Linked DNA regions of Notamacropus eugenii. The protein of the gene in region 2 interacts with the protein of the main gene of each other region in a pairwise test. Links are inferred from orthologs where the notes say so. Each region holds a gene or a part of one and is shown on either strand. Other genes may lie near its edges.

Region 1 (3,748 bases), on a different chromosome or scaffold from region 2:
AATTCCTAGGTATTAGCCAGTTTTTTAACCTAGAAAGATAAACAAACCCCAAGGCTATGAATGCAGAGCTCCCTTACAATAGCAGTCTGAAACTGGTTACAATTTTCAAAAGGTTATTTTGATTTTATAGCCATCCCACCTTCATTTACCTTCAGAAACAAAATATGATGTAGTATTTCCTAAACAACTCAGAATCATGGTATTTTATATGAAAGTTTGTATATTGACCTTTCCTGAACATATTTACTTTAAGAAACTCACAAACTGTTCAAGTTTACAAAACATTCTGTATTCAACTACAGTCCTGAAATTAGCAAAATATTTCTAATGCAGCCCACATGTTCACTGAATCTCAAGTGCAATGATTCTGGTATAAATATTACTTCTAACTGGAAAAAAAAATCACTTTCACTCCATGAGGCCAGGTTACCATCCAAGAGATAAATGTTCTGACAGTAGCCCACAGTGTGTAATTATAATAACAAGTCATGCCAGCTTTTTTTTTTAACAGGAAAATGCCTAGTTTGTCATTTAATGTCTAGCTGTTTTCTGTTCGTGTTTTTTCCCTTCTGCCCTTTTCAAAACAAAGGGTTAGTCCATTTCTCCATTTCTACTATGTACAAAAGCTATCACAATCCAAATTGAAGCAAAACTGCATTTAATTCCATTCAAATGAAACAGTTACCAAGCACCTTCAAAGAGCCAAGGTCTAGGGATAGAAGACCGAAAGAGGACAGACAGTTCCTTACCCTGGAAGGGCTTACATTCTACCTGCACAAAGAGAAGTAATACAATGTGATTTGAGGAAGGAGAAACACTAAAAGCCATAGGGAAAGTGAGGTACTTGATCTTGCATTTCTTTAGGAAACATAAGAAATTCTATCTATACCAGATAAATGGGAAAAGATAGGATGAGCATAGGAATAAGTGGGGAAATCTACAATTTTATGAAAACTTTCATACATGATGTCCACACATACACACAAAACTGCTAAGAACCAGAAAGTTTCAATACTGTCTAGGTCAAGAAGTATCTTATTATCTCGAAGGTCTTGGGTGAATTACTAGACATTTAGAAATATCCCACTAAAAAAGAAACTAGGCATGCATACGTACTCCCAAAGAAAGCTTAACCTTTGTACATGATGGGAAATAATTTGAGGTTCAGTCTTAGTACTTCTCTTTACACTTTTAAGTAAACATATGATGAGGCACCTTGTTAAAAACAAAAAAACAGCTACACAGAAAGATGAATCCTGGAAACATGCAAATAGGTCCAGCAGAGAGAGTGCCTGGGATCACGTCTCTCTCTCTCCCCTTTCTCTGTGTCTCTTCTATTTGTCTCTCTCTCCCTCTCTCTCTCTCTCTCTCTCTCTCTCTCTCTCTCCCCCTCTCCCTCCCCCCCCTCCCCCCCGCTTGGTCCCGCAAAGAAGCAGTACTCCATCTTCCTTAGCAAAGGTAAGAGGCAAAATGATCACAACAGTTGTGGGGAGGGAGAACCCCCCCACCAAACAAACCCAGGGAATTCCGGTTTCCAAGCAGGCTGTAGAGGAACAAAAATGTGCCGTGTGCCCCTGCTCCAAAGTGTGCCAGGCACCAGGCTGCACAAAAGACCAATCCACCCCCCCGGTCCACACCGACACACACGTACACCAAGCGCCAGGTCTTTTCCTGCCTGGCCAACGGGTGTGTGTTGGGGGGTGGGGGGAAAGGGAGGAGATGGAAGGGAACCAGAGAAGTCACATGTCACGGAGAAGATACAATGTGCAATCATCTGGCAATTAGAGAGAATCTCCCAAGATTAAACTGGACACTTTTCAACCTGACATTTCTGCTGTACTTTCCAAAGACTTAGTTGCCAGAGCCTGGGGGAGGGGAGGGGGGAGGGGGGAGGGGGCAGGGAGGCTGGAGAAGGATGGGTAGAGGAGGACGAGGGCTGGGCAGACGAGGGGGAGGGGAAGGGGTCGGAGGGGGATGGGGGAAAGAAGGGGGGCGGCGGAGGACAAGGGCAGAGGGAGGAGGAAGAAAGTAGGAGAAGATGGAAAAGAGGGGGGGGGAAATGGGGCAGGAGCCGGGAGTGAGGGGGTGGCAGGGGGCGGGCGGGGGAGGGGCGGGGGACCGCGGCCGCCCCCGGCCGGTTACCTGGGCTGGGGAGAGGGGGCGCAGGTCGCCGTCTCGTGCCGCTCCCGGAGGAGAAGGAGGAGGAGGAGGAGGGGGAGGCAGGGGCGTCCGCCGGCCGCGGACTCAGGGACCCCCGGAGCCCCCCGGGGCCCGGCCGCTCTCCTCCCTCGCTCGCTCTAGCCCCGCTCTGGCTCCCGCCGCTCCCGCGTCCTTCCCCTCGGGCTCGGGCTTCGGCTGCTGCCGCCCCGGACTCTGGGAAAAGTGAATCCACCAGCACCTCGCGGACCGCGCCGCCTCCGCCCGCGCCCGCGCCCCCCGCGCCCGCGCCCGCGCCGCCGACGGCTCCGGCTCCCAGCCGTGCGCGCGCCCCACGTCCCCGGAGCGGCTCCCTCCCCGCCCCTCCCTCCCGGAGCCGGGCGCGCGCCCGAGCCAGGGGGCGGGGGCAGCCCCGGGAGGCGCGCGCCCGCCCGCGGGCACGAGGCTCCTCCCTCCCGGCGAGGGGCGGGGGCAGCATGGGGTCGGGGTGGGGGTGGGGGGGAAGAGAAAGCAAGAAAAAGTAAAGTGACAGCTGAGCCCCGCGCGCCGAGGGGGGAGGGGAGGCCGGCTGGGAGGAGCTCGGAGGGGGAGGGGTGGCCGGGGTGGGGGAGGGGAGAGGGGGCGAGGGGACCTTGGCAGGGACGTGGCGGGCGCGCGCGTTAAAGGGAAACACTGACAAGGAGGGGGAGGGGAAAAGAGTCAGAAAAAGGTGGGGGGCGGGGGGATGGGGTGGAGTGGAGAGCTTCTCCCGAGGAGTGGGCAGGACGGAGGTGGGGAGGAGAATGTGGGCCCAGAAAGTCACCCAGGAGCAAGAGAGAACCCCCCCATCTGTCTGTCTGTCCTTCCTCTCCTCTCCCCTCTCTATCACACACACACACACACACACACACACACACACACAGACACGCACACACACACAGACATACACACCCATAGACACACACAGACGTACACACATACACACCCATAGACACACACACACACACACACACACACACACACACACACACACACACACACACACACACACACACACACACACACACACACACACACACACACACACACCCCTTCCCATGCACATCGGGAATTCAAAAAAGTTTAGCCAGGCTGCTGACCTCTGAAACCCACAGGACTGGGGATAGGGGAGGGCATCGGGGCCTCCGGGCTGCGGGACCTCTCTCTGCCCCGGACCGCGCCGCCTCCCCACCCACGACCGAAGCCACCTGGGGGCCCTCCCGCCGGGGAGGATGGGGTCCGGGACTCCACCTTGAATGGGGTGTGCGGGAGTCAGGCCTCTCCAAATCCAGGACCCAGGCAGCTGCCGAGGCTGGGCAGCCGTGGGATCCGGACCAGCTCCGGGAAAGCTGCAGACCTAGTGTAATTATGCCAGACGAAGCCCTCCTGGTGACAAGGGCCAGAGTCCTGGGCGACACAGAGGCCGCAGGCTACAACTAGAGAAATCAGGGTAGGAAAATCCCGGGGGAAAACCACCCAAAGCCTAATTCCACATTCCCCGGATAAGAAAACCCTTTCCCCCAGTGACTCCTTCAAACAGGGCCAATCTCTCAAACCCCCTAAGCCACTGGTA
Region 2 (3,748 bases):
TTTTCATTCCACGAAAGGCCAATTAGTATCCTGCGGGGGCCTCCAACAAGGGTCTGGGGGGGGGGTTAATGCAGGGAGTTAGAAGGGCAACGGAGCATAGCGGGGTCCCAAAAGCACTGCGTGGGGCTGCCCAGGGACAAGGATGGGGACCGCAGACAGGCCGACTGACGGGCTGCCCAGGAGGAACCTTTACCGGCGCGCGCCGGAATCCAGGAACTGGAATCCTCAAGCCTCGCCCCCTCCCTCCCTGAATTCCCTCTCCCCACCGGGACAGGCACCCAATCCAATCAGCAGCTGGCATCGCCTTAGCAACAGGCTAACAAACCAAACTCCGCCTATCGCTGCCGGCACGGGGCGTGGCCTCGGTTACCAGGCTAGTTTGAGAGGTCCCTGGTCTAAGTCATTGAAACTATTCCAGGTTAACGTCGGTCCGCGTTTGGTCGGACTGGGGGTGGTGAGTGGGTGGGGGTGGGTGATAACAGGTTCTTGTTAATGAAATATGGCAGACACAAATTAAAGTGTATTCTGCGCTCTCATTTTTTCCCATCATTCTTCCCTACCCCCAGCCATTGCGAGTCTCTCTTAACTACGTCTTTTATATCTACTCAACAATTTACCTACCCCCTTCCCCCCGCCAAAAAAAAAAATGGATAATTTAGGTGATTAGTTGCAAACTCCGGTGGCTACTTTTAAATAAGCACCAGGAATGTGATTAGGCATTTGCTCTTTATAGGGTGGTTCGATGTTTGAGGGCCTTAACAATGAAAGTCTGCACATCATGGGCAGATAGTTTTAAAATGTTTTATTCTATGGAAACGTCATTTTCCCCGTAACACCCTGACATGCTGCATCGTACATGGAAGTGAGATTATCTTTCATTTATGCCTACATTTGACTGAGGCTTGAGATGGCATCATTTAGGTAGGAATATAAATTGCTTAAAAAGAGGGGAAAATAGGCAAAATATCTCAAATTCTTAGTTTTATCTGCAAAATCGTCAACGTCTGAACTAAATACTGCATTAAAAAGGAGAAGGACCAAGAATTACATAACCAGTTTTAACATTATAGTCTGGTGCTAGGAATTAAGTCATCGCCACCACCTGACGCGTGTAACCAATCTGCTGAGAGCAGAACAGGCGCCCCTCCTCACCCCCCCAGTACTGGTCCGAAACAGGATTGAACCGCTTCTAACAAAGGGTGGAAACTTAGAAAAACAAGCTTAGAGTCTGCTATATTTCCACAATGTATCCATTCAAACAATAGATTAGCAATCTCAGGACCCCTTCCCCCTTTGACAGTCTTTATCTTCCTTTTTTAACCAAAATCAGACCTAGCGTGAGAAGTCCTTTACATTTCCTTTTGACTGGCACCGGTTTCATTCAATGTATGTTCCAAAGTTAGAAATGATGCTCTTAAAAGAAAAGAATTGACCCTAAATGGCCTCTTGGTCAAATTTTAAAGCTACCATGATGATAGTCTTTTTTTTTTTCATTTTTTCTAAGAAAAGATAAAAAGGTAGCTTGATGTGAATTTGGAATTGAATAGGAAAGAAAAAAATAACACGTGGGGTGTTTGATAGCATATGTCAAAATAAGCTACGGGAAGCCCTTTTTCAAGGAACAATGATTAATTCTGAAATTATTGCATGTCGATGTTAAAATCTAAAATGCACCTCTAAGCGTTCATTAGAAGATGCTACTCCATGCTTTTATTGCAACTCATTTTGTAGAGCCAAGGTTGCAAAGTAAAAAAAAAAAAAACCCCACAAAAAACCAGTTGAGATTCGACTCCAGTTTCTAGCAATGCGTTTGGAAACCATATTATTAAAATGCTGAAATCTGATGGAAGGAGCTATTAGAAATAAGGTACACATGAATTGCAAGTGCGTATTGCAAGAGGCTTATAGAGATGTTAGAGGTAGTTAGCAAAGTGTTCTTATACAGTCACTTTGCAGATGGCTCGAATGCATTGCTGCTTAACACTCGATAGATGTCAAAAAAAATTCAGATTTTCAAGTCTGCAAAAAAGATTCTCTACAACAAACGTTCAGATTTCAAACTGAAAAGCCAAGAGTTAAATTGCACCAATTCATAGAAAATAAGAGGCAAGTTAAAGAAAATCATATTCCTTTATGACTTCTGAATAATCAAAAAAACTTACCTCTTTCATGCCCAATTAAGATGTCTTTATGGTTGAAATATTCTACTTCTTCAGTGTAATTCTGTGTATAGGCAGTGTTGGATCCAGCATTTCTAGATTCGGTCCAGCGTACTTTCGCATGTCCTCTTGCATGAATTTTTAGAGATTTTACTCTGATTTCCCCAGTAACTTCTAAATTCACTCTTCCTGAGACTGTATCCCCACTAGAATATACAGGGACGTTACTGTCATTAAGACAGTCAAAGCTTATTGTCAAACTCTTAACCTTCCCCAGCACCATGATTATAACAAAATCTATAAAAAAATATAATGTAAGACCAAAAAAAGGTCAAGATCACATATAAAATGCGATCTTCACTAAACACTGATCGATGTCTTTGCCGTGCAAAAGGCTTGCAGGCAGGATCAGTGCCTTCTTTACAAATAGTTCATTGAGGTTTCTTAAAAAGTCACAGCACTGGATGCTGCTGCTTCTCAGATCAGTGGTCTCTGTACAAAGACGGGTGGCTACAGCTTGCCAGCTCACTTTAAAACCAGCTTTGTGAAAAACAACCCCACAGAGCATGCGCACGGCTCTGCTGCTGCCTTTTTCCTCCCCCCTCCCTCGCGTCCCTCTTCCTTTCTGGTACAGTAGGTGTAGAACAGAGGGAAGAAGACTGCTGTAGACGGAGAGCTGAACCTGACTTCTCTTCATTGAGTGTTCCTATTGGTGCGCAGGCTACCGTAAAACTCCAGAAGTGGGATGGGAGGCTTTACTACCGAGCAGATTCGAATAGCCGTGATAGAGCCGTAATGGCAGAGCAGGGGACACGAGGGGACGCAGGCGGAAGGAGGCCAGGGTGGCTGCTGCTGCTGAACCGCTCGCCCAGGGCGTGCACGGAGGGCAGGGCTGACCTGTGCCCACCGGGCACTGCTGGAGAAAGAGGAGAGGGGGAGGGGGAAGGGAGAAACCTGTTGGACGGGCCGGTATAACGTGATCTGATGAATTTCAAGAGAAATTGCAATAAAAAAATGACAACAAACCCAGGCTTTAAATATGTGGTTAACAGACAAATTCAGGGAGGATGGATTGGACACTTTGTATTTGTTGCTGTTCGAGGTAGGGTGAAATTGACTCCATGGAGGTCAAAGGAATCCTGCCTTTCCTTTGAGAATCTTGCCATGGACGAGGAGAGAGGCCAGTTGAATTTAAGCAGAGCTGTGTGCCCTCTCCATCTCTAACCTCCATTGCCATGAAAAACAACCAACGACCAAATAATTAGGGCTGACCACTTCCTTAAAAGAAAGAGTCCTGTTTAAAGGAACCACCTACAAATCGTATTTTAAGGGTTTGACAAGAAGTGCTGAGAGGACTTCAAGAATTGTCTGGTTTAAATAAGAAATGAAACCTTAGAAAACACAAGACCAAGTGTTTACTTAGACATTCTGTTTACAAAAAGAACAAAACACTGTAGGGAGAAATAGTGTGGATGATTTTTTTTTAAATCCTAATTCTGGATTAAATGATATTAAACATAGTTTATTTTAAAAAGCACCAGTGTGGCTTTGGAAACCTTGAATTATTCAGCAAGAATATTAATTCTGGA
Region 3 (3,748 bases), on a different chromosome or scaffold from region 2:
CATAAGCAATCAAGGTTTTTGCTCTCTTTCTCCCATTCAGCTCTGGACACAATTCATTGCCCATCTTTACCGTACCAGACTCACATGCTGTTGGATAAGCTCTTTAGTGAGTTCAACCAAATGCAGGTTGAAATTTGGGCACTAGACTTTATTTATACACTTGATCTTTCCTATGTGGATGAATACGAAAAACTACTTTGAGCGATTATAGATTTCTTTCAATTCTTCTGCAATATTTAAAAGTTTGGTTCAACTGGCACAATGCCATCCACAAACCTAGAGGATCTCAACATCCAAGGCGAATTCCTCTTCAATGTGAACTCTGTGCTGAATCTATCTCATCACAATTGTTAACACCTTCCATGATCACAGATCTTTATTTTTCACCTGTTGCTTATTACCACAGGGTCATTGAATAGGGTTATTTCTATTTCATCTTTGTCATTTACATTTGTTACAAAGCATGGCTGTTTGGGGAGCAAGGGAAAGATATATTTGGGAAGGTGATGTAAAAACAAAAAATATAATCAATAAAAAAAAGTTTTTAAGAGATGAAAACAGCAGTTCTTTTTTGTTGTAGTCATTGCGCATAAGCAGTGACCTGTTCATACATTCATACTTTCCACTATTCCAAAAAACGGAAATCATACTGCAAATGGAAAGGACAATGAACTAGGAGTCCAGAAACCCAAGTTCAAGTATTAGCACTCTCAGTACACATACATAAATAAATGTCTGTGGACGTTCTATGGTGTCCTGATTCAAGACTCAAGAGGACCTGGGTTTGTTGCTAATACCGCTTTATGAACATAGACAAGTCACTTAACATTTCCGAATTTCCGTTTCCCAATCTGTAAAATGGGGGAAATACTACCTGTAGCACTATTCAATTTCACATGAATAATATATGTGTTGGAAACCTTGTGCAAACCTTGACAGACTGTACTAATGACCCCTCTTATTATGGAATGAATGCAGATTAATACCATTCCACGGGACAGGAAGAAAAGCTATTATTATGAATAACATGAAGCTAGATGCTAGCTAGACAATGAGCCAAGTACTGTGTAGGCAAGCCAAGTTCCTGGTCCTCTGACCTTGGGTAAACAATTTTTATGTAAACCTGTTGTTTACTGAGAAATTCATATGATAAGGAAGTCTTAAAGAATGGAATCTAAAATAGACTGCAGAAACATCATTTTACATTTTATTTTTCAAAACACACAAGTTCATTCAGCCTTTCAAAATGGGACCAGTCCTTTGAGGTTTAACTCTTGTAGTTGAGGTTTCTGTCTTTTTAAAAGAGGGTGGCGTTCAGTTACTGGAGGCCTACACATAGGCTAAAGCCAACTGAAATCCCGCCCTCTTTCTGTGACGTCCACGCTTCGCGGCTTCTGATTGCAGCCTTTAGGCGTCAAGCCCAGGGTGTGTATCTTACTGGGACACAGTGAAGATCTCACCTCTTGTTTGGTGAGCGGTCGGGTATTTTGCTCTACACTCCGCACCCCTCGGGGGCCCCCGACCGATCTGAGCTGGAGATATCGTTCTGTGGCGCCCTCCCGCGCCGGATCTCCTTCTCCCTGGGGCGGGACGATTTCCAGAGGCTCCGGTCACTATGGTCAGTGCAATGGGTGGGAGTGGAGGGGATATGGGGTTCCCAAGCCCGGGGCGCATGTGCACGCTCGGGAAAGGGGGCGAGACCTAATAGAGGGGGTGGAGAGGGGACTGCAGAACTCCTGGTCCTCCTTCGCCCCTACCCCCAAGCCCTTCTGGTTTGAGATCCCTTTTGGCTCCTAGGGCCTTCCTTCCCATCCCCCATATCCCACCCACCCATAACCCTATCCCTGGGACCCAGGAGGGGCAGTCCAGGGGACCCAGACCGTGCCCGGTCCGGGCTCCGGCGCTAGGGGCTGGATGGGGGTGCCGGGTAGCGAGTGTGAGGGGGAAGGTGTCTGGGGCGGTGTGGGGGGGGTGGTGGTGGAGAGGCCAGGAAACCCCACATCCCGTAGCACGCCAGCTCCCCCAAGTGCCCCGCCCCCTCTTCCCCTCCTCCCCCCAGGAAATTTGGCCGACCCCGTGAGAGCCTTTTTGGGGCAAAAACCCTCCATCTGGAGTCATGGCCACCACCCCCGTATGACCTTGGGCAAGTCATTTGGCCCCCCAGCCTCAGTTTCCTCGGCTGTAAAAAACCAGAGGGGCTTGAACTAGTAGAACTCTCCGGATCCAAATCCAGTCCTATGAATGAATCCATTCATTAAGCACATAGCAAGCGCCTACTGTGTGCCAGGCATAAGCTCTAAATCCTACGAAATACCCTCAAGCCAGACCTCCCACCCAGCTGGGTCTGACGTGATGCCTTTTCTATTTCGTGTTCAGGCACCTTCCCCACCCGTTCTTTGGGGGCAAGAACAAGACGCCAGCCCCTTCCTCCTTCCCATCGAGAGACAAGTTCCAGGGTTTGGTGCGTTGGAGCCAGAGAGGGGGTGGAGGGGCTGGGGAAGGGTTTACCCCTGTCCTGGAGCCGGCCTTTCTTTATCTGTGCTGAGCCCCGCTCTTCTCCCCACCCCTCCTCCGAGGGGGCTGCGGCTGCGGCTGCGAAGGGACTGGATTTCCCTGGTGGGGCTCACATTTCCAGGGTCAATAATAAGCAGAGGTGTGAGTATAAGAGGTACCTCTGAGACGCCAGAGCAAGCTTGGGGGGGAGGGGTGAGCAGGGAAAATGAAGAGACTAAAGGTGGGGGGGATGGTTCACTCTCTTTACCCTACCCCTCTTAGTTTCTAAAATGGAACTAAGAAAAGAGCACCCACTTTGAATCACAAGAACCAAGTTCATGACTGGTGGTTACTATATTACTGTAGGACTTTGAGCAAGTCACTTTACCCATAGGAAAATCTCTAAAAGAGGGAGGCCTGGGTTTTTCTTCCAACTCTAAATCCTAACCTCTGAGTGGGTCAGCCCATGAGATCACCTTCAGCCTAGCCCTGAGGAATGTAGGGGGGTCAGGGGGCACAGTTCAAGCTGCAGTACATTCCAAGCCCTGCCCCAGCGTGGATCTGACTAATCGCGTGCCCGAAGAGGCAGTCACCTAAGCTGTTAGCTGTGGGACAGAGAGGGCTGGTGGCACTGCCTGGGGGTGAACTACTCAGTCAGGTCCTAACCAGGGCTTGCAGTATTTGTCTGAGGAGTTTTCAAGGAGACTTGGTGGGTGCTTATCTTCAACGGGATTAAACACATTCCTTTGCTCACAGAGATACTGAGCATTTAGGGTGCTAGGGGCACTCAAAAGGGTGCCCTTTGAGTACCCATTCACCTGAATGGAAAACCGGAAAAAATAAGCCAGGTGGTTAAGATGTGTGTGAAGGCACCAGGTTATTTTAACCGCTAGCACCATCTAGTGTTTCTCTGAACTGTGGACTCAATGATAGGGACTAGAATAGGAATTTCATTGGTGTAGGGAACCTCAGTTTGATTCTACTAGAGTCTAAATGACTTGCCCAGGGTCACACAGCTACTATAAATCAAAATGGGGATTTCCATCCCAGGTCTTCCTAGTTTCCCTTTCCAGGCAACCTCTCCTAATGTTAGCATCTGAAAAAGGCCATCTGATCTAGTCTCCAGCAGCCCCCTTTTTAGCATCCCACGTCATTGCCTCTGACTGAGACTCTTTGCGGGTAATTAGAAAGGACAAAGGGAAGGAAGAGTAGAGGTTAGCAAGAAATACAGGAAAAGGACTTGCTTAAGAAGCAG

What was found.
Region 1: the proteins of ARRDC3 (region 2) and UBE2E2 interact in binary tests that used the Homo sapiens proteins (3 or more experiments, as listed by UniProt). The two-hybrid records come from large-scale screens. The link is inferred for Notamacropus eugenii from reciprocal best matches to the Homo sapiens genes ARRDC3 and UBE2E2.
Region 3: the proteins of ARRDC3 (region 2) and OTUB2 interact in binary tests that used the Homo sapiens proteins (3 or more experiments, as listed by UniProt). The two-hybrid records come from large-scale screens. The link is inferred for Notamacropus eugenii from reciprocal best matches to the Homo sapiens genes ARRDC3 and OTUB2.

Annotation. Positions count from the first base shown.
Region 1 is NC_092874.1:31,288,551-31,292,298, forward strand, and holds the start of UBE2E2 (ubiquitin-conjugating enzyme E2 E2), read right to left. Parts: upstream 2,440-3,748; 5' UTR 2,143-2,439; intron 1,669-2,142; exon of another isoform or gene 1,518-1,668; intron 1-1,517.
Region 2 is NC_092875.1:449,016,673-449,020,420, reverse strand, and holds the start of ARRDC3 (arrestin domain-containing protein 3), read right to left. Parts: upstream 2,450-3,748; 5' UTR 2,443-2,449; coding exon 2,163-2,442; intron 1-2,162. UniProt on the Homo sapiens protein: Adapter protein that plays a role in regulating cell-surface expression of adrenergic receptors and probably also other G protein-coupled receptors.
Region 3 is NC_092878.1:35,625,978-35,629,725, reverse strand, and holds the start of OTUB2 (ubiquitin thioesterase OTUB2), read left to right. Parts: upstream 1-1,427; 5' UTR 1,428-1,615; coding exon 1,616-1,618; intron 1,619-3,748. UniProt on the Homo sapiens protein: Hydrolase that can remove conjugated ubiquitin from proteins in vitro and may therefore play an important regulatory role at the level of protein turnover by preventing degradation.